Linked DNA regions of Cricetulus griseus. The protein of the gene in region 1 purifies or fractionates together with the protein of each later gene. This does not show direct contact. Links are inferred from orthologs where the notes say so. Each region holds a gene or a part of one and is shown in the gene's direction. Other genes may lie near its edges.

Region 1 (5,094 bases):
TTCTGTTCTCTCTTCTTAGTTTATCCTTTCTATTTATTCTCAAAGGCCACCTCCATCGTTCTCAGCATACCCAGTCATCACATAAAACACTTATTTAGTTTGTGTAGGCTTTTGAAACATTTCCTTCTGTTGATAGAGCTGAATGGAATGTGAGTGTCTTTTTTTTTTTTTTTTTTTTTTTCCCCATATTGTTTTGGAGCCTGTCCTGGAACTCACTCTGTAGACCAGGCTGGTCTTGAACTCAGAGATCTGCCTGCCTCTTCCTCCTGAGTGCGAGGAAGGTGTGTGCCACCAACGCCCGACCCTGAGTGTCTTTTATGGACTCATATTTAGAAAAGTATTTGAGTACAGGAAGTCTTGAAGGCACATTAAGGTTGCCTATATACATTTATTGTCTAGTATCACAGGATGGTGAGGTCAAAGTATGGAAGAATACCTACTTAGTATTGTATATGCCAGAGTCTGTGTGTTTGCTCACCAGGGTAACATGAGAACTAGCAAACAATACAGGTACTCTGGACCTACCTGAGACCTGCTGAATCGGTATTTTTAAAAGTTAAATCTAGACATACAATATACTTAAAATATTTTTATTATTTATGAATATGGCTGTTTTACCACATTTACTTAGTACCTGCAAAAGTCAGAGGAAGATGCCAGATGTCCTAGAACTGGGATTTCAGACAGTTGTGAGCTACCATCTAGGTGCTAGAAGTTGAATATGCATCTTCTGGAAGAGAAACCCTGGTGCTTATAGTCTTAAAATAGCCTATAAAGGAATCTGATGTAGGCAGTCCTATAAACGGCATTTAAGAACCGTTGCCTTTTATAAGAATAAATTCCAAGTGATTGATCAATTGTTATCAGCTTGGGTAAACACTCTTTTCCTAAGCTTAGATATGATGTTGTTGATGCATTCTGTTTATGTGGTTTTATGTGTATGAACATTCTGTCTACATGTATTCCTTTACACCAGAACAGAGCATCAGATCCCATTATAAATGATTACAACCACATGAGGTTGCTGGGAATTGAACTTAGGACCTCTAGAAGAGCAGCCAGTGCTGTTCTGTTCTGTTTTGTTTTCTCACAACAGGGTTTCTCTGTGTAGCTCAGGCTGTCCTGGAACCCTCTCTGTAGACTAGGCTGACCTTGAACTCAGAGATCCACCTGCCTCTGCTCTGCCTCCCCAGTGCTATGATTAAAGGCATGCACCACCACTGCCTCATTGCAGCCAATGTTCTTAACCACTGAGCCATCTATATAGCCCCAGTTGTCATGCATTTTAGACCTTGTCTACCTTAATACGTTAACAACTTTCATAGAGAGTGTCTTAACTCAATTAATGCATATTTTAAGGTGTGGAATTTGATGTCTTCCAAAACATTTTATTTTATTAATTTTATCCTTCCCCACTAAAATTTTGTTAGAATTGCAAATTATTGTGGAGTTTATACATTGATATTTGTTCTAAATCTTAATAAAAGATACGTCCAAATAATATAATCATAGCATACATAGCTTGAGAATAATTAATTGAACCTCTAGTACATGTCTGTCTGTGCATATACATATATCTTTATATAGGAATGAGCATACTTTTTTTTCTGTTCTGTTGATATATAGGAATACTACTTGGTTTTACTTTTCTGAAACCGTATAAATCTCCTACATTACTTTTTCCAGAGACTGTTCCTTATCTAAGTCATCTTTGTTTTTGAAGTTTACTAGCAGTCTCTGAGCCAAAGCATCATGGGGTTGACTTCATGGAATCACTCTGGATCCACAGTGCTAGATTCCAAAAGAAAGGGCTTTAAATATACTAAGCGTGGTAGCAGAAATCAGAAGGTTTTTTGGTTTTTTTTTTTTTTTCTCCCTTTGGTGGAAATGCAGTGATATTTTGGTGGACCCAATTAGCTTAATTGACTTGGTTATTTTTACAGGTAAATATGTCTGAGTTTCTTCCTTGTGGAATAGTAGTAAGGACCCTTTTAGACAAGGTTGCTGAAGAATTACACTAGATGACACAGAAAGCTCATAGTACATGATGGGAACTTGCCTTCCATTTCTGCATCACTGAGACCACAGATTTGGTGATTCATAAAGAATGTTGGTTTATTTAGGCTCAGTGTTCTAGAGTCCGAGAAGTCTAGAGCCTGATGCTAGTCTTGAATTATAGCATGATGGAGGATTTCACGTAGTGAGACAGCTGTGAGTCAGGGAGAGTGCTCTTTATAATCTGTGATCCACTTATTAATCTGTAAAGGGTTAATTCACTCAGGAGGCAAGCCCCTTATGACCCAGTCACTTTTGTAAGTCCTACCTTTACTGTAGGACTAGAACAAAAGCCAGTAAGAATGAACACTGATTATCTTTATCGTTCTGGCTTTTTTGTTTGTTTGTTTGGTTTGGTTTGGTTTGGTTTTTGAAGACAGGGTTTCTCTTTGTAACAGCTCTTGCTGTCCTGGAACTTACTTTGTAGACCTGGCTGGCCTCAAACTCAGTGATCCACCTGTGTCTGCCAAGTGCTGGGATTAAAGGCAGATGTCACCAACTCCCAGCAAAATTGTTGTGAGCTGGCTTGTGGGTGTTAGGAACTGAACCTGGGTTCTCTGGAAGAACAGCAGGTCCTCTTAACTGCTGAGCCATCTCTCCAGCCTCAGTAATGCTTAATTTTTATCAATGTTTATTTGTTTTTCCAACAGATAAAGTGCTAACTTGCAAATATATGAGTTTGAGAGAGACATTCAGTAATCATAGAAACACTGAATAAATTGTAGTTTTTCCTTTCACTTATATTACTTTACCTTTCACAGGGTGTCTTGTCTTTAGAAGCAATGCTGCTTGAAGGAAGCTTAGGGTTTTTTGTTGTTGTTGTTGTTGTTTTTGTTTTGTTTTGTTTTTCAAGACAGGGTTTTTCTGTGTTGCTTTGGAGGTTGTCCTGGAACTCGTTCTGTAGACCAGGCTGGCCTCAAACTCACAGAGATCTGCCTGCCTCTGCCTACTGAGTGCTAGGACTAAAGGCATGCGCTACCAATGCCCGGCGAGTCTTTTCTTTTGAATAGTCCTTTAACTTGTGGATAAGAATTTCACATTCACTTCTTACTCATTGCTCAAAGTAACTCTTGCAAATTATCCTCTGATTTCCATATGTACACACACACACACACACACACACACACACACACACACACACACACACACACGTAATATAAATAAACTGAGGCTCACAGTCATCTTATTACCCCAAACTTCATTGCATCATACTTGGGAAAACAGAGGCTTACAGTAAATTATTTCTCCAGAATGCCAAGCTGAGGTTAAACATACAGTTATATGTTTATATGAATGTACTACATGTATAGGATGATAAAATGATGATATAAAGATCAGAAATTGAGAGTTCTTAGTCCTTAGCCAGGCATTTATCTGGAGAACTGGGTGTGTGGCTCTCTGCATAGATACCAGGAACCATGTAAGCAGGCTCATATAGATGTGTTTGTAGGGTGGGTCTGTAGATCTTTACTGTTTCCCACAACTATTAGTTACAGCCCAAAAGAAGGAACTAAGAAAGAAAGGTATTTTTGGTGTCTACCTCCAGCACTCTAAGGTTTCTCTCTTTGCAGGGATGTTGGCAATGTGGTTGAAGCTATGTACGGGGACCTCCCTCCTCCAGTCATGCTGATCGGGCACAGCATGGGTGGTGCCATTGCAGTTCACACAGCATCAGCTAACCTGGTACCAAGCCTCTTAGGCCTCTGTATGATTGATGTTGTGGAAGGTAAGTTTTGGGTTCAGTAATTTATAAGAGATATTCCTGGTACATTATTACCTTGGCCATATTTGTTCTCAGTTTCACTCATCTTGAAGTATGCCTCTATGTCTTTGTGCCTTTATAAAATTATACAACCATTTTCTGTATTACCAGAAACTCTCCATTAACACCTTTTTATGGCTGTATAATATTTCTAATCATATGAATGCCTTTTAATAAAATTTTCTGACTTACCCCGAGAATCTCACTGCTCCTTGAACAAGTTAGCCATACTCACTGTGGTGTGCCACACAAGGAGTGAATCAAGAATTGCTGAGAGCCATAGTGGAAACTGTCGTGAAGCTAGATCTTTATTTTTACCCAAACATCACTGAATTCTGACATTACCAGGAACAAATACATAAGCTGACTCAGTGTGTTAGTTTTTACCACTGTGACAAAATATCTCAGTTAAGCAATCTAAAGGAGAAAAGATTCGTTTTGGTCAGATATCAGAAGTTTTGGTCCATTGCTTTAAGAATGTGTGTGTCAGAACATCACACAGAGGGAGACTAGGAAGAAACTGTGCTCCCCCAGAGCTTATCCCAGTTACCTGCTTCCTCTAAGTCGGCCCTGCCTCCAAACAGTGTGCATTCAACAATGGATTAATATATTGATAAAGTTAATGTCAATAGTGTCTTCATTATCCAACCAACTGTCAATACACCTTCAATACATAAACCTTGAGGAGGAAGAATTCTTCCTGTGTAAGCAATGCCATTCCATCATTATGAATATGAAGATAAACATGAGTATTGTTCTCTTGATGATACAGGCGTAGGCAACAGTTTGTAGGACTCCAATAGCACAAGGAATAATCTGAAAAATTAACTTCTGGATTTCCATGAAGCTAAGAAGCTTCTGTTTAGAAAAGAAACAATCACCAAAGTGAAAAAGAGATGGCCATCAGAATGGGAAAGGATCTCCGAAAGCTAGATCATACTGGGGATTAATATTTTGTGTGTGTGTGTAAATTAAAACTGTTTTGAGACTCTATTCACCCCAGTCTGGGTGAGTAGACACTTGTCATCAATAAAACAATTGATATCATGTGCTGTTAAGGATATGGGGAAAGAGGGACCCTTATTCATTACTGACTGGAATGTAAATTTGTGTAGCCACACTGTAATTCAATATGGGAGTTCCTCAAAAAATTGGAAATGCAACTACCATGTGACCCAGCTCTACCTTTTTTGGATATATACCTGGAGGACTCTAAGTCAGCATCCCAGAGATACTTACACATCTATGTTTATACTTCCGTGTTCTCACTAGCCAGG
Region 2 (5,094 bases), on another chromosome or scaffold:
GGTTTTTTGAGACAAGGTTTCTCTGTGGCTTTGGAGGCTGTCCTGGAACTAGCTCTTGTAGACCAGGCTGGTCTCGAACTCACAGAGATCCGCCTGGCTCTGCCTCCCGAGTGCTGGGATTAAAGGCGTGCGACACCACGCCCGGCCCTACTGTTATGAATTATAAATGTCTGTGTTTTCCTATGATCTAAGGTGATCTCTGTGAAAGGGCCATCAGACACCCAAAGGAATTGTGACCCAAAGGTTGAAAACCACTGCCTTTAGAGTATATTCATTCCTGCAGACAGGCCAAGTACATCTCCTCACCCTTTTGTTTTAACACCTCAATCTTGAGGCGAAACATGCCTCTGTCTGATGCAAGTAGGAGCCATAGTTAAATCACTTTTAGTCAGTATCAGGTGTGCAGGCTGCTTCCGCATCGTCTCTTGGTTTTTTGTGACCTTTGGAAGGACTGGTCCAAGCAGTCCCATTGTAGATATTTGAGATAGGAGTCCCTCTGCTAGGATTACAGGCAAGGGCCTCCATGCCAGTGATGAAGGGGCATTTTTAAAATTTAAATTAACTGTGGGGTGATAGACATATGTGTAACAGGGCCCATGGAGATCAGAGGGCAACTTGCAAGAGTTTGGTTCTCCACAGTGTAGGTTCCAGGGATTGAACTCAGGTCATCAGATTTAGCAGCAAGCTCTTTGCCCTGCCAACAATTCTAAACCTACATCAATCCTGTAGTTTCTGTGTATCAGCACAAAAATCTGTCATGAATTTTCCATTTAATATCCAAAGTCTATGAACTAATTTTGTTGATCACGAACCTTCCTACTTCTTCAGGAAATGTTATGTTGAGACAGGCTGATCTGGAACTGGGTTCAAGTGATTCTCCAGTCTCAGCCTCTTGAGTAGCTGGAATTACAGTCTGTGACACTACTTGCACTTCCTCAGGACCTTTGAACTGCTCTTGACCTTGGTGGTTGTGGGTTGTTAAAATGAAAAGGATGGGGAGGGTTTTATCTCATGTTAGCCCATGCTGATCTTGGATTTCTGATGATCTGTCTCCATTTCACAACTGCTCTAATTACAGTTTTACATTACCATGCCCAATTTGTAGAGTGCTAGGGATCAAGCCCAGGGCACACCATCTATGCTAGGTGAGCATTCTACCAACTGTGTTACATCTCCAGCCCCAGATTTAAAGCACAGAACAAAACAAAACTGAATTTCTTATAGTAATGTTAGTGTGATTTGATGCAGCTTCTGGATTGCTGCTAGGTTATCATCATTTCCATACAGCATTGTCTGATCTCCTGAATCACAATTGGAAACTATACTCCTAGTTTATAGGGATGCTAGACAGTCATGTAGCAAATTAATACTCTTTTCTGTAATTACATTTAGTGAGATTACTGTCTGCACAAGAAAATAGGTGTCATCCCTAACTTTTGTATAATTTAGACTGTTCAGGTATCATCTTCACATCTTTTCTTATATTAATGGTAAAATGTGAGGGAAGGATTAAAAGATCTGGTACTATTCCCAGAGAGACATGAACAAACCTCTACTCACCTTTGATTAGGAACCATTGTCAGACCAAAGTAAGGACATCACCAAAGTCCACCTCCATGAGCACTGGCTCAGTTTATACTTACTGGTTGTTTTAGTCAAATGTTCAGTGTCTCTGAAGAGACACCATGACCACAGTAACTCTTAAAGGAAGGATTTTAATTTTAGGACTTGCTTACATTTTAGGTAGTGGTTCATGACCTTTTTTTTTTTCTTTTTTTTTCTTTTTTTGGTTTTTGGAGACAGGGTTTCTCTGTGGCTTTGGAGGCTGTCCTGGAACTAGCTCTTGTAGACCAGGCTTGTTTTGAGCTTACAGAGATCCGCCTGCCTCTGCCTACTGAGTGCTGGGATTAAAGGCGTGCGCCACCACCACCCGGCTGGTTCACAACCTTCTTAATGTGTGCTCATGTTGTGGGCACTCCAACCATAAACTTATTTTCATTGCTATTTTATAATTCTAATTTTGCTACTGTTGTAAATCATAATGTGAATATCTGTATCCTCTAGTGGTCTTAGGCCATTCCTATGAAAGTGTTGTTTGAACCCCCTCCCCCAAAGGGGTCTCAACCCACAGGTTGAGAACTGCTGGTTTAGAGGCAGAGGCAGGTAGATCTCTATGGGTTCGAAACCCAGCCTGATCTACAATGGTTTAGAGGTTTAGTCCATTATCAGCTTGGCAGGAAGCAGGCAGACAGGGTGCTGGAGAAGGAACTGAGAGTTCGTCTATATCATGACCCACAGACAGCAGGAAGAGAGAGACACTGGGCTTGGCTTGAGTGTTTGAAACCCCAAAGCCCACCCCCAGTGACATACTTCTCCAACAAATCCACACTTCCTAATCCCTGTCAAGTAATGCCACTCCCTAATGACCACATAAATTCAGAGCCTATGGGGGTCATTCCTATTCAAGCCTATACTAGTGTTAACTTAAAGGAGTATGGATAAAGTGTTAATTACAAGAGCAGAAGTGACTCTAAGGCAGTTTTATCATTAAAAGTCAACCCCAGCATACCTGGCAAGATACAAAACCTGGAAATATGGAACACACTCTGCCACTTTTAGCCAGCTGATCAGGTCAGAGAATGTATCTTTTAGGCAGCAGAGCTGATCTGGGCGTCTTCTGGGTTACTCAGCTTGTATAAGAGTGTTTGGGGTTAAGAGCACTTGCTGTTGTTCTTTTAGAGTACCTGGGTTTTGATTCCCAGCACCGATGTGGCACCTCACAATTGCTTGCAACTCCAGTTTCAGGAGATCTGACACACTCTTGTGGCCTCCTTGGGCAGCAGGCACCCAGGGGGTTCACATACAAGCTTTCAGACAACATCTATACACTTACAAAGTCATCAGTTCTTACTGCTTATATGAGCTTGGGGAAGATGGGTTGTAGTGAGCTGGTCAGTGTTAGTGTTTTATTTTGGAGGAAATTACTACCCATCAGTGAATAGACATAAAAAATAGGTTACTTGTATATTTTGTCTCATTCATGTGTGCATGTCTATATGTTAGTGTGTGTGTGTGTGTTTTCATCTTTGTAGTCAAAGGATGCTGTTGGAATTCTTTTTCCACCATAATTTGTTGAGTGGGGTCAAGTCTTTTGTTGAACCCAGAGCTTGCTGGTACAGCTTGTTTGGCTGGCCAGACAGCTTCAGGGATTTCCATCTTTGCCTTCTTTTTTTTGAGACAGGGTTTCTCTGTGTTGCTTTGTAGCCTATCCTGGCACTCGCTCTGGAGACCAAGCTGGCCTCGAACTCAACAGAGATTCGCCTGCCTCTGCCTCCCGAGTGCTGGGATTAAAGGCGTGCGCCACCAATGCCCAGCCTCAGTTTGCCTTCTAAGTGCTAGAATTATAGACAGGCCACTGATTCTACCTAGTACTTCATTCTGGGGATCCATACTCTTGTTTGTCCTTATGCTGGAGATGTGCGTGCCTTAAACATTGAGCCATCTTTGTAGCTTGTGTACTTTATTACTATGTCAGATAGACTGGGACCAGTACCGTGAATACCTCACATGACAGTGACTGAAAAGGCAGGAAAAAAAGAACTTCGTTGTTTTTTTTGGGGGGGGCGGGGTTTGGTCCTGCGGGGAGCCCCCCCCCCAATCCACTGTGTGGATTGGCCTAGAGCTTACTTTGTAGACAGGACTGACCTTAAACTCTCAGAGATCTTCCTGCCTTAGTGTGGTAGATTGAATGTAATTTGCTCCCTTAAGCTCATAGGAAGTGGCATTATAAGGAGAAATGGTCTTGTTGGATTGGGTGTGGTCTTGCTGGAGGAAGTGTGTCACTGTGGAGACAGGCTTTGAGGCCTTATGTATGCTTAAGTCATACCCAGTGTCCCAGACCAGTTCCTATTGCCCGTGGGCCAAGATGTAAGAACTCTGGGCTCCTTCTCCAGCACCATTGTTTCCTGCCATGATGATAATATACTAAACTATAAATAAGCTACCACAATTAAATATTTTCCTTTATAAGAGTTGCTGTGGTCATGGTGTCTCTTCACAATAATAGAAACCCTAAGACACTTCATCTCTCAGGTGTTGGATGTGGCTTATTTTATACTTCTAATGGTGGGAAACTTTCCTAGTCTGTGTAAGCATTATAGCATGGAAATCATGAGCATCTTTATAGTGTCTGTATTTAGTGTTAAGTATTTGCAAGGGTAATTGTTAATATTTTCTGACTTTTTTTCTTTATAGGATTCAGTGGTCCCAATTTAAAGGTTATTTTATTTTCAAACTGGAGAAAGTGATGGATGATTTCAGAACTTCAGCTCCTGAACCAAGAGGTCCTCCCAATCCAAATGTTGAATATATTCCCTTTGATGAAATGAAGGAAAGAATACTGAAAATTGTCACTGGATTTAATGGGTATGCACATAATAATAATAATAATAATAATAATAATAATAATAATAATAATGGGTATGCACATAATAATAACAACAACAACAACAACAACAACTTAAAGATTTAAATTTAACCACATAGATGTTATTTCTTTAATTTTTGTTATATCTGGTTGGTAATTGACTCTTGTATCTCTAGTGTTTTTTTGGGGGGGTTCTCTGTAACAGCTCTGGCTGTGTTGGAATTTAATTTGTAGATAAGGCCGGCCTCGAACTCAAAGATCCACCTGCCTCTGCCTCCCAAGTGCTGGGATTATAGACCTATACCACCACCACCCAGGTGTGTTTGCCAAATTTTGGCTCATAAATCTCCTCCCCTCCCGTTTTTTGTTGTTTTGTTTTTTGTTTGTTGGAGGCTGTCTTGGAACTCGATCTGTAGACAAGACTGGCTTCAAACTCACAGAGATCCATCTGCCTCTGCTTCCCAAGTGCTGGGATCAAAGGTGTGCACCACCACTGCCCAGCTTGGCTCAAAAGTATTTTAAATGTTTATAATCATCATTGAAAAAAAATTGACTGATTTTATGAGTTTCAGGGGTATTCATACTTTATACTTTATACATGCATTTATCAAGATAGCAACATTTCGTTTATTAAGAAATATTTTAATGTTTTCTTGGTATTATCTTGA
Region 3 (5,757 bases), on another chromosome or scaffold:
AGGCAACTTCAAAGGGTTTTTCCTGGAGAGAAAGTTTAGGATTCAGTTCAGATGACATCCTTTTGATGAATTCTGCAATCATTCTCTAAAATAAGGAAATTAATATATTGCTGAACTACTGAACAGACACTTTTTACATTTCAGCTTTGAGCCAGGTGTAGTAGGAGGTGGAGACAGGAGCATTAGTTCAAGGTCAGGTCATCCCCAATCACAGAGCAAATAGCTAGCCTGGAATACAAGAAACCTTGTCTAAAAAAAAAAAAAAAAGAAAGAAAAAGAAAAAAAAAAAAAGTCAGAGTGCTTGCGTACAAGCCTTGCAACCTGAGTGTGATGCCCAGACCCCACCTAAAGCTGGAGAGAACCCACTCCACAAAGTTTTTCTCTGACTTGCAGACTTGTGCCCTGGCACAAAGGACCCCCTCATGATATTAAATATTCTATTTACACAACTGACAAAGATTGTGTTTATTTCAAGTGATGACAAATCTGCCACTTGAGGTAGTTTGGGGGTTACCCCATGCTGAGAAAGTGGCAAAACCTACTCAGGAACACGCCTTGTGATAAAGGGTGCTGTTTGCCACTTGAGTTCAGCAGAGGCTGAACACAGTTCAGACAGAGGAAGTATGGTCATTTAGCACAGTTTTACAAGGTCTCAGTGGCTAGCCCCTGCTATATAAAGAAATCACTAATTACAACCAAAGTATCAGTTACAGCAAAGAATGTCAAGCTGGAATGGCCACAGATAACTTTAGAAATCACTTTATGGGTTGGAGAGATTAGCTAGCTAAGGGGTTAAGCCTAGCCATATATATATATATATATATATATATATATATAATATATATATATATATATATATCTTTAAATGCCAGCACTAAGGAAGCAGAGGCAGGAGCATCTCTGAGACCGAGGCCAGCCTGGTCAACAGAGCGAGTTCCAGGACAGCCACAGCTATACACAGAAACTCTATATGGAAACATACAAAAAAACCAAAAAAGTTTAAAAGGTTTACTCTTGCAGAGGCTCCAAGATCCACTTCGGATCTCCCTAAGCACCCGCACACACGCGACATAGACATAAATAAATCCTTTTATAAAACATTATTTTATCTCCGGGCGGTGGTGGTGCACACCTTTAGGTAGAGGCAGGTGAATCCCTGTGAGTTCGAGGCCAGCCTGGTCTTCAGAGTTAGTTCCAGGACAGGCTCCAAAGTGATACAGAGAAACCCTGTCTCGAAAAACAAACAAGAAAGGGTCCGAGATTTGGGGCCTCGCAACTAATTAGTGCTAAGAGTAGAAACTAACTCGATACAGATCTAGTGCCTGTTCTAGGACTGTGAAATGTTGAGAGGAAAGCCCAAGCTTCCCAGCTCCCCGGCGCAGACGGGGGTCCAAGGCTAGAACCGGATTCCCAGAGGGAGGAATGGGAAGGACGCTGGCCCGGGGCCCCCGAGGACCGTTTCTCCGCCGAGCCGCGCGAGGGCGCTGCTCGTCTCCTCGTGAGCCGAGCCCGGCGGCCCCGCCCACTCGCCTTTTCCCGGCGGAAATGCCGGGGCGATGACGGAAACCCGGAGGGAGGGAAGAGAAAGAGCGAGAGAACCCGGGCCAGAGCGCGGAGAGGCCTGCGGGCGGCGGCGGCGGAGGCAGCGGGCGGACGCGGTCGGGCCGGAGCGTCCCCCGAGCCGCGCCGCGCTGCGCGCTCCGAGCCGTGTGCCCTTGGCGCCCCGGGGCGCGTGGCCGGGCCGGGCGGGGCGGGGCGGGAGCTCCCGGAGGCCGCGGCCCGCAGCTGCCCGCTGGGCTTGGGCGGGGCGCGGGCTGCGCGCTCCGCGGCTCGGTGGTCCCGCCGGGGGCCGGCGGCGGCGGCGGGGGAGGCGGCGGGGACGCGCGGCTCGCCGCCATGGACGACAAGGCGTTCACCAAGGAGCTGGACCAGTGGGTGGAGCAGCTGAACGAGTGTAAGCAGCTGAACGAGAACCAAGTGCGGACGCTGTGCGAGAAGGTAGGCGGCCCGCCGCGGAGGCGCGCGCGGGGGAAACGGGCCCTGGCCCCGCCTGGAGTGCGGAGTGGGGTGCGGGGACCTCTCCCCCCCCCCGAAGATCAGGCAGCTGCAGCCTCCTAAAGACACGGACGACTCTCCTCAAAGTCGTTAACACTGAGACTTGGTTAGCGTGGGATTGTTCGCGGGTGACGGGGGCGGGGAGGGGGGCTCCGAAAACCACGGAGTGCATGAAGCTTTTGTTTGCACACTAGTGGGCGTGATGGCAGGCGGCCCTTCAGCCGGGCTCACTTCGGTGGAGGCTGGTGGTGGCTGTGGTCTTGGTGGTGAGTGGCTCTTGGGACGGATGGTTTCTTTTTCAGGAAGAAGGCAGCAGGTGTTGAGTTTGGAATCCGTGTTTACTGGCAAAGAGAACTGGGATGTGTGCTATTTATAAGCTCCAACATTACAGAAAGTTACTTCCATTTTTACCGCGAGTAGCCCACACACACACACACACACACATCCTTAGACCTTGCAGGTGATGGATTGGGGGGGAAAAGACCTTCTTGATCGTGTTTCCGTAGCTTTCAGAAATCTGTATCCACTGATTTATTAATTGCTGGAATTTTTAAAGTCTACTTTTTCATTCCTCTTTTATATTTGGACTAAATCTCGTCCCTGTATTTTCCTGTTAAAGAGTCCCACAAAAGAGTAAAGGAGTTAATTATTTCACGCGTGAATCTATACATTTTTCTTAGAAGTCGGGATACTACTAAAGAATTTTGTCCATCTTATTTATAAACACTCTTTACTAGGGGTGGGGGGGCAATAACCCATGGAGTGTTTTTCAAGAGTTCGGTGTTGTCCAAGTCCTTTTTGTATTCAATACTTAGCCCAGGAGAGTGTCTTCAAGTAGAACTGTGGAGAAAATGGTGTTCCCCCCACCATGAAAGTGTTTGCTTCTAGCCTCAGCTAACTTTTATTTTTCTTGTGTGATAACCTATAGTTTCATAATTCTCAAAATTAACCCTTTAGATGATCTCTCTCAAGCTAGTGTCACCGAGCTGTCCAGTTTGGAAATTGGCTGAGTCAGTCAGCCTTATTGTAATTGTGACATCCAAAACTGAAGGTACAGAGCAAGAGGTGGCTGAATCAGTTCAGGGTTCCCCTTTGACTTTGTAGTAATTTTAGGATCCGTCCTTGCAGAAGGTTGTTCCACTGCTGTGAAGTGTCACGTTTGAGTCTTAAACTCTTAGGAAGCTTTCTGAATCTGCTTTTTTAAAAAAATCGTTTTTCTTTTAACCTTGGCTTCTAAAAATCTGGATTACCAGTTCGTAGCACCATGTAGTGAATTTAAGCTGACATCTTAGGCTGTGAGTGAGTTTTCTTTGCAGATGAACACTAATTCACAGAGTATCACCCATTCCTTCCTCCTCTAATGCATAGGATGGAGTTGCTTGTAGGAGAGGCTTCTTAATGCCCCTTTTCACCATCTGTGGTGTGGGGGGAGATGGGTGTGTTTTCTTTAGTCCCTAGTCCCTTTTTGTAATAGGTTTAAAGGTTTATTAATTTTTAATTATGTGTCTGCGTGCTTGGTGCTCATGTCTGAGGAATTCAGAGGCGTCAGATCTCCTGGAACTGGCTGGTGGTGAGCCACGTGATGGTGGGATCCTGGGAACTAACCGAACTCTGGTCCTCTGTAAGAGAGTACAGGTCTTACCTGCTGAGCCATCCTGTCTCAGTCAGCCTGTTGGAATTCAGTACACCCGATGCCTATCTAAGGCAGGGATGATACTTAGCTTCTTTCAGGTGGAAGATCTCAAGAGGCTCCTCATGCAGCCCCACAGTAAGTGAGCACTCAGGGAACACTAGCGAATGAGAAAGGCTATGTGCTTTTTCAGCTCGTTTCAGTTGTCACTCCACTTGGGAAAGAAATGTAAAATGGATGTGTTGAGACTTCTGGTGATTGGACTTGAAAGGAGATTTTGTGGCCCTAACCAAAACTTCGTGTTTCCTGTTACCTTCAGCACACAAACTACTGGGGTTTATAGCAATGTTATAAAATAAACAACTTTACTTCCCAGTTGGTCTTGTGGATACTCTACCTTTCCAGAGCAAGAATGTCTTGTAGGAAGGATGTAGGAGAAAGTCAGACGTGCACATCACCTACCTTTAATTCCTTTTGGCTAGTCTTTTAGTTTTTTCATGTGTGTATGTATATAATGTGTTTGTAGTGCACATGGCAGGCGGATGAGGGGTCAGAGGCCTACTGTGAGGAGAAGGTCCTCTCCTTCCACCTTATGTGAGCCCTGGGGATCGAACTGAAGTCTTCAGGTTTGGGCCTCGAGTACCTTTACCTTCTGAGCCATTTCTCGGGCTAAAAGAGTTATTAACTTTTTATGAAGAGCAGGTCTCAGGATGTAGTCCTAGCTGCCCTGGAACATTTATGTAGACCAGGCTGACCTCAAACTCTGCCTGCCTCTGCCTTCTGGGTGCTGGGATTAAAGGGGAGCACCACCACGCTTAGCCCACCAAATTTTTTTAATGATATGCTTTTTTTTATATTTTGTTTGCTGTAGCACTCTGTAGAAAGAAAGGTTTTTCCCCTAGAAATTAAATTCCTATCATAATTGAGCTTGTCTGAAATGGAAGTAACTGAAGTGGTCCTGTTAAGGCCCTGTATGGGGTAATGGCGGTCAAGCTCTTCCCACTGTCGGAGGGTAAATAGCTTCCATAGGGCCAGCACAGAAAGGTGTCTGCCTTCTGAAGTGAATGGCTGTCGCTCATCTAAATTAGCAGCCCAGAGTCTGAAGTTAATTGTGAGTCTGACTCTTCTGTGGGCAGAAATACAGCTTCTGGAACTCCTTCCTGCGATGACAGTGTGCACAGCAGCTTTTAAAGATGGTGTGCTGGAGGAGCCAGGCTGGCCCAGCCAGAACGTTCTGTGACTACAACTATATTTAACTCTCATCTTGGGAAGAGTAAAAAAAATTTTTTTGACCTGTTAAGCTTTATTTTATAACTGAAGAATGTTTGTACGATAATCCAGGGGCAAGAGGGGGGAGCTGCTTCCTGTTTTGGCAGGTACCTGTTTTAATCTTTAATCAGAAAACCTGAGGCTAGTATAGAAGTAATGTGTAAATTCTAGGGCTAGAGAGATAGCTCCCAGTTAAAGGCTAGGCTCACAACCAAAAGTGTAAGAAATACATGTGAACTCTATGTTGGATTGATGGTGTGTTTCATAGCTTGGCTTCAAAGCCTCCTAATCGGACACTGAAAATTTAAGTTCATACTGTGAAAGAGCACACACCTCTAAAGTGGAAGAGCAGATCATTGTAGAAAGAGCATGTCAGTTGAGATACTCCATTACTCTCTGTGCTAGATACAACTTTAAACAAAAATAAATGTGCTTTTAACGGGGTGTGGTGGCACACACCTTTAGTTCCAGCACTGTAGAGGTAGAGGCAAATGGATTTCTGTGAGAAGAGGCCAGCTTGGTCTCTGTAATGAGTTCCAAGACAGCCAGGCTACATGGAACAGACCTTATCTCCCAAAGCAAAAAAACAAGGTGGTTGTAAGTGCTAAAAACCCTAAGTGGCTATATAGCAAGTTTCAGGACAGCCAAGGCTTCGTAGTGAAAGCTTGCCTCAAGAAACAAAAACAAAAAAGACAAACAAAAAGGCATAACTGCTATGTTCATTTTACTTCATTTTTTACTGGGGTCAGGGTCTTACTACATAGCTCTGGCTAGCCTGAAACTCACCAGGATTGACTCAGACT
Region 4 (5,800 bases), on another chromosome or scaffold:
TAAAAGTGTGTAGCCAAGTGTGGTGATCTGCTTGTAACCCTAGAATCTGGGAGACAGAGGCAGACAGATCACTGAGTTCAAGGACAGCCTTATCTATATGGCTGTAGGCTAGGGCTCCAGATTGAGACCCTGTCTCAAAACAAAAGTCAAAACTAAAACAAACAAAATTTCCAAGTTCATGTATAGGTAAGGGAACATTATCCTATTGGGATAACCTATCTCTTAAATAGTATGTAATCAGATTTGAAGTAGCTAGAGCAAATGTATTTACAGACAATTTACTTATTTGCCAAACAGTTGTTTAATAGATGTAGGTGAGATCACCAAGATGATTTATAAAATGTCTCTTCCTTTCCAGAGTTAAGAAGAGTGAGAGTTGGCTCAACAGTTAAGAGTTCTTGCTTCTTCTGAAGAGGAACGGGTTTGATTCTCAGCATCCATATGGAAGTTCACAACTATCTGTAACTCCAGGTCCGGGGGGATCTGACACTGTCTTCTGACTTCTGAGGGCACCAGGCATGCACATGGTGCATATACATACACTCGGGCAAAACACTCATACACATAAAATAAAATTAATTTTTAAAAATTAAAAAAAGATGAGTGAAAAAATTTACAAACCTTAAGGAGGCAGCATTTAAATGGTTTTTCTCCCAAGTCAGAAAGACTTGTTTATTCATTCATTAATCTCATGAATTATGTTGCTGGTGATAGGGAGGTGAATAACACACTTCCTAGCCTCAAAGAATTCAGTGTAATAACAGACACAGACTGAGATCATTTTAATGTGGTTTAAAAAAATAGAAAAGTGCATTATACTTTATGAGACTATATAAACTGACAACATGACCACTTCATAGTATGGTTAAGGGGAGGGTTTTATTATAGGTGTGTGTGTATATATCAGAGAGAGAGAGAGAGAGATCAAAGTCAGAGGCATCTGGAAGAGTCCAGAGCTGAAAGAGAAAGAAGTAGACTGACATGGCCAGAGAGGGGAGAATAGCAGGGGATAGAGTATATAGTGAGAATAGCAGGGTTAGAAGGAGAATGAGAATCTGGGTGAGGAAAACCTGAGAGCTGGAGGGAGTTTAGAGTAGGAGAGGAGGTGAGACGGGCTGGGATGCTAGCATGGACTTTGAAATTGGGTAACAGGTACTAGTGATACCAGAATGTGCTTTGATGTGCTGATAGGCACCACAGGTAGCCATATGTCCTTTCTGCCAGAGATGAGGGAAATGACCTTTTCTTTTCTTTTCTTTTTTTTTTCTTTTTTCTTTTTTTTTTTTTTTTTTTTTTTTTTTTTTTTGGTAGAGGGGAAATACCTTCACAAGTTCCTGAGGAATGCTAGCTTTTATCTAACTGCTAGAAATCCTCCTATTGTCCAGGTTGAGCTCATTTCTGGATATTTGGACTGCCTTTTGGAGTTTGGAGACTTGGAGTTTCCTTTGGACCTGAGAGTATCTCTCCTACCCCCACCCGCACCCCCCAAGAGAAGGTTTCTCTGTGTAGCCTTGGCTGTCCTGGAACTAGCTCTGTAGATCAGGCTGGCCTCAGACAGGGATTCAGCTGCCTCTGCCTCTTGAGTACTGTGATTAAAGGACTGCATCACCACTACTACCTTGACACTATTAAACAAGGGCACCCAACCTAGCTAAAGGTGAGCCGGAAATGGAAGAAACTGTCAGAAAAGTCTGACTGGAAGAGGCTACATTTAAATAGATTTAGTTTCTTCTCCTTTTTTGTTTGATGTGTGTATGTGAGACAGGGTCTCATATAGGTAGCCCAGGCTAGCCTCAAACTCATTATATAGTTCAGGTATCCTTAAAATTTGGAGCCTCTTACATTCACCTCACAAAGTGCTGCTGAGATTGTAGGCATGTGTCACCACAGCCAGCAGAATATAGATTCTCAATCATTGATTTTACCACTTTTATCTGAACAGACCTGAGTCACTTTTTTTTTGTGCCATTCACAACACATTTAACTTTCTGTCGGGAGCCATTCTTAACTGTTTGCGGTAGCCAAGAACTCTCATCCATGGGAAGGTAACCTACTTCACCCAGATGGAACCAGCCCAGTTGTGTCTTTCTGGGCTCTGTGAACTCTCACCTTGGACAGGCAACGAGTATGCATCACTGTCCCTTTATTTTGGTGTCCCTGGGGCTCACCCAGTGTCGCTGGAGCATCTAAAGGGTCTTCTCCAGGGAGAGCCAGCTCACCCTGTGGGTGAGAAGTAGACAGATGAGACCATCCTGGAGTCCCGGCCCTGGTGCAAGGCTTTGGGACAGTGTGAGGTGCAGACAGGCCAAGCTGCCGGCCCACTTGGGCACTGTGGGCCAACTTGGCATAGTCCACAGCCAGAGCAACTAACCACTGCCCCAGTTCGGTGCAGAGCTCAGAGCAGGGTCACAGCGGGCGGGGCGGAGCGAGAGCCGGGCAGGAAGGAGGCGTGACCAACACAGCGCGACCCACCCCAAAGGCGCTCCGCCCCCTGGAGTGACGTCACCGGCCAGCCAGCGGGCGCCATTTTGAAAGTGGAGTCGCCTGCCCCTGCCGCCGGGCCGCCGTCGCTGTCGTAGCCGCCGCCGCCGCCGCCGCCGCCGCCGCGCCGCTGCCCACCGGGGAGAAGGATCACGAGAGGGGACGCCCCCGAGTGAAAGCTTCTATCCTGCCGGCCGCTCCGCCTGAGCCGCTTCCCTTCCGCCCCGATTCCCGTCCCCTCCCCCTTCAGGTGCCATCCGCCTCCATCCGCGCCCTCGATCCCCCCATCCCCAGGTGAGGGGGCTGAGCCCCGGTCGCGGAGACCCCGAGGAGCCCGGCAGGGTCATCATTTGCTGCACGACATGGCAGGTAAAGGAGAAACGGCCCTCGGCCGGCTGACAGGGTGCCGCTTCCTCTGCGCGCTCTCCGTCACCCCCTAGCGACCGTGGCGGAGGGGCCTTGGCCTGGGGCGCTGGCCGAGTGCGGGGCGGGCGGGCGGGCCTGGCACTGGGCTGGGATGGTGGGGCCTGCAGGCAGGGCCCTGGGCCTGGCACGGGCTCGGGCACGGGTGCGGTGGGGGTGGGGGCCTGCGTGGGTGGGGCGGGTGCCGGCGTGCAGATGGGTCCCCTCTGCACCCTGCTCCCTCCGCTCCTCCGCACATAGTCATTCCACTCTTCCTCGTCTGCTGCGAGCCTTCCTGCAGAAACATATCCTGCACGGATAAGGAAGAGCGCTTTGCAAGTTAAAATACAATGGAGGCATATGTCCCCCCCCCCCACACACACACGTTATGGCTAGGTCAGATTTTGAGGGTGTAAGCCTGAATTTCGTGGCGACTGTGCTCCCTCCCATGACTTAGTCGTTGTCACCACGAGTGCTAGGCCTTTAATAGAAGTTGTTAAGGGTTGGGGTGGGAGGTGGGGAGAAACAGGTAATTTAAACTTTGCATTTTGCACGCTATCGTTCGTGCAGATGTCCTTTTCCCAGAAGGGTTTCTCGGAGTTAAAATAGTTGTGGAGTTCAGTGATATAAATAGAGAGAGAAAGAGGAGAGAGAGATTTCATAAAAGCTTGCAGTGGGGGAAAAGCACGGAGAAACCCTGATTGAGAATAATTTAGCAAGGAACAGGTAAAGGAAAAGCGAGGGTTAATAGCCTTTGAGAGTCGGTTATCTTTGTACATTTTGATCTTGAAGCCCTTCTGCTAGTAGAGTAATTCTAGATTGAGATTCAGTTTCTTTCCCAGAAATCCAGGAGTGTCGTGCCACCCCCCCCCCCCAATTTCCTTTTCAGTCCCGGGCAGTGTCTGAGATTAAACCAGTTTTCCTTGTCTTTTCCATATTTGCATAGATAATAGGACTTCTAAAGAAGTTATGTTGGGCTGATTTACCATTTACTATACAAACAAACTGCCCTTTGACCTTGCCGAACAATGAAATGATAATTGGAACTGTTTTGTAGGAGATGACATATTAGCAAAGTTGCTCTTTCTGGGCCCTTTGGGTTCTCTGGTTAGGTGAAAGGAGGCAGAGTCAGCATCCTTTGACCATCCTTTGACCAGGCATTCATTGCCACCCCTTTTCCTGTGTCTGCAGCCAGTGATTTGCGCCTAATGAATGCAAAGAAATGGGTGTTGTGTTTGCTGTGTCCATGCTTCGGTGGTAGGGCTCACATGAATCACTCCTCCTCTCAGGAAGTAATGTTCCCGAAGTTTTCTCTTCGTTCTATATTTCATGGTAGTTTAGCCCTTTGCACATTTAAAGGAAAACTAACTTTGGGTATTTACTTTGGTTTCTGGTAGGTCTTACGTGAAAGGCTTTGTCTTCAAGGGGCAGGGAAAGTGGAAATGAGGTTTTGAATATCTTTACGATGATAATGATTGATAGACTGTATGCCTTTGAATATTTCATACCTGCAGTCTTGTTTTGAATGCTCTACCAGCTGTCAGAACTTATTTGGTTCCAAATTCGTGGGCTCAGTGGTGACTGTGTATGTGGGTAGTATCATGCTAGTCTCAGATACCATCTCCGTGTTTATGAGAGTAAACAGAACAGAACTCCGTTTTAATTGCTATGTTTTCTTCTTCTAGGAGCTGGAGGAGGGAATGATATTCAATGGTGTTTTTCTCAGGTGAAAGGAGCAGTAGATGATGATGTAGCAGAAGGTAAGAAAGTTTAACCATGACAACTGAGTGTTGACTTAAGTTCTGTGTACTGAAGGAACACGAACTAAACTGAGCCTTGAAGAATGTTTTGTGTTGTCCAAGAGGTGGGACAATAGTTTTAAAAATCATCTTTCTGAAAAAGTCTTTACATCTCTTTTTCTGTCTTGTTTTATTTTTTCATTGAGTTAATGAAGTAAATGGTGAGCAGTAAGTGCTCTGAGGTTCCTGTAATTGAGGTTTCCTTGTTACATACATTCTACATGCAAATAACTGGACTTGGATGTTTGTGTTTTGTCTTTAGATAATTAAGCAGGAATAGATGCCAAGAACACTTAGCTCAGAAATCTTTTATTCTATGAGGAGACTTAAGTTCTTTTGAACTTAACTACTTTGTGACTGTAGTATTGGTTAACATGTTTGCTGAAAAAATGCTGGCTCAAATTATTCACTTTATATTATCTTTCAGGGATTCATATGTGCAGTTAAGATATAATAATAAATCACTTTTCTAGGGGACTTTTTGAGATAGAACCTTGCTAATTTATTTTAGAACTTCTCTGAAGTTTTGGAATGTGAAGGCCTTGTACTCATTCTGAGACAATCTTTTTTGTTAGAGACAGATAATCTCCAAAAGGATGGTTACATTATTTCTTTGTTCAGAAATACTGCAGGTTTGTGGGATTGGGGTGTGTGTGTGTGTGTGTGTGTGTGTGTGTGTGTGTGTGTGTGTGTGTATGTGTGTGTATGAGAGAGAGAGAGACATGCGCATGCACGCACGCACGCACGCACGCACTGAGACAATCCCTGGGATTGGGGGGGTGTGTGTGTGTGTGTGTGTGTGTGTGTGTGTGTGTGTGTGTGTGTGTGTGTGGTGTGTGTGTGTGTGTGTGTGTGTATGTGTGTGTGAGAGAGAGAGAGACATGCGCATGCACGCACGCACGCACGCACGCACTGAGACAATCCCTGGCTGGCCTTGAACTCAAGAAGAGTTTCCCCAGCAGAATAGTGGGATTTTTCTTAATAGAAGTCAGACAAATTACAGCAGACTTCTGGTTTTCAGAAGGTTGTCTGAAAATGTATGACCCTTTCTCTAGAGTGCACCTTTCCCTGGTGAGGTTGGGGTGCCTCCTCCCAACCACAGAGTGCTGTTGTGATGA

What was found.
Region 2: the proteins of Ppme1 (region 1) and Ppp4r2 purify together in Homo sapiens (affinity purification with mass spectrometry; 3 studies listed by BioGRID and IntAct, counting the BioPlex papers as one, with this or other methods). This does not show direct contact. The link is inferred for Cricetulus griseus from reciprocal best matches to the Homo sapiens genes PPME1 and PPP4R2.
Region 3: the proteins of Ppme1 (region 1) and Ppp2cb purify together in Homo sapiens (affinity purification with mass spectrometry; 6 studies listed by BioGRID and IntAct, counting the BioPlex papers as one, with this or other methods). This does not show direct contact. The link is inferred for Cricetulus griseus from reciprocal best matches to the Homo sapiens genes PPME1 and PPP2CB.
Region 4: the proteins of Ppme1 (region 1) and Ppp2r2a purify together in Homo sapiens (affinity purification with mass spectrometry; 3 studies listed by BioGRID and IntAct, with this or other methods). This does not show direct contact. The link is inferred for Cricetulus griseus from reciprocal best matches to the Homo sapiens genes PPME1 and PPP2R2A.

Annotation. Positions count from the first base shown.
Region 1 is NC_048596.1:99,184,354-99,189,447, forward strand, and holds part of Ppme1 (protein phosphatase methylesterase 1), read left to right. Parts: intron 1-3,626; coding exon 3,627-3,781; intron 3,782-5,094. UniProt on the Homo sapiens protein: Demethylates proteins that have been reversibly carboxymethylated. Demethylates PPP2CB (in vitro) and PPP2CA. Binding to PPP2CA displaces the manganese ion and inactivates the enzyme.
Region 2 is NC_048601.1:43,126,736-43,131,829, reverse strand, and holds part of Ppp4r2 (serine/threonine-protein phosphatase 4 regulatory subunit 2), read left to right. Parts: intron 1-4,254; coding exon 4,255-4,425; intron 4,426-5,094. UniProt on the Homo sapiens protein: Regulatory subunit of serine/threonine-protein phosphatase 4 (PP4). May regulate the activity of PPP4C at centrosomal microtubule organizing centers.
Region 3 is NW_023276807.1:51,187,832-51,193,588, reverse strand, and holds the start of Ppp2cb (serine/threonine-protein phosphatase 2A catalytic subunit beta isoform), read left to right. Parts: upstream 1-1,837; 5' UTR 1,838-1,896; coding exon 1,897-1,998; intron 1,999-5,757.
Region 4 is NW_023276807.1:222,050,662-222,056,461, reverse strand, and holds the start of Ppp2r2a (serine/threonine-protein phosphatase 2A 55 kDa regulatory subunit B alpha isoform), read left to right. Parts: upstream 1-2,540; 5' UTR 2,541-2,843; coding exon 2,844-2,850; intron 2,851-4,568; coding exon 4,569-4,643; intron 4,644-5,800. UniProt on the Homo sapiens protein: Substrate-recognition subunit of protein phosphatase 2A (PP2A) that plays a key role in cell cycle by controlling mitosis entry and exit. Involved in chromosome clustering during late mitosis by mediating dephosphorylation of MKI67.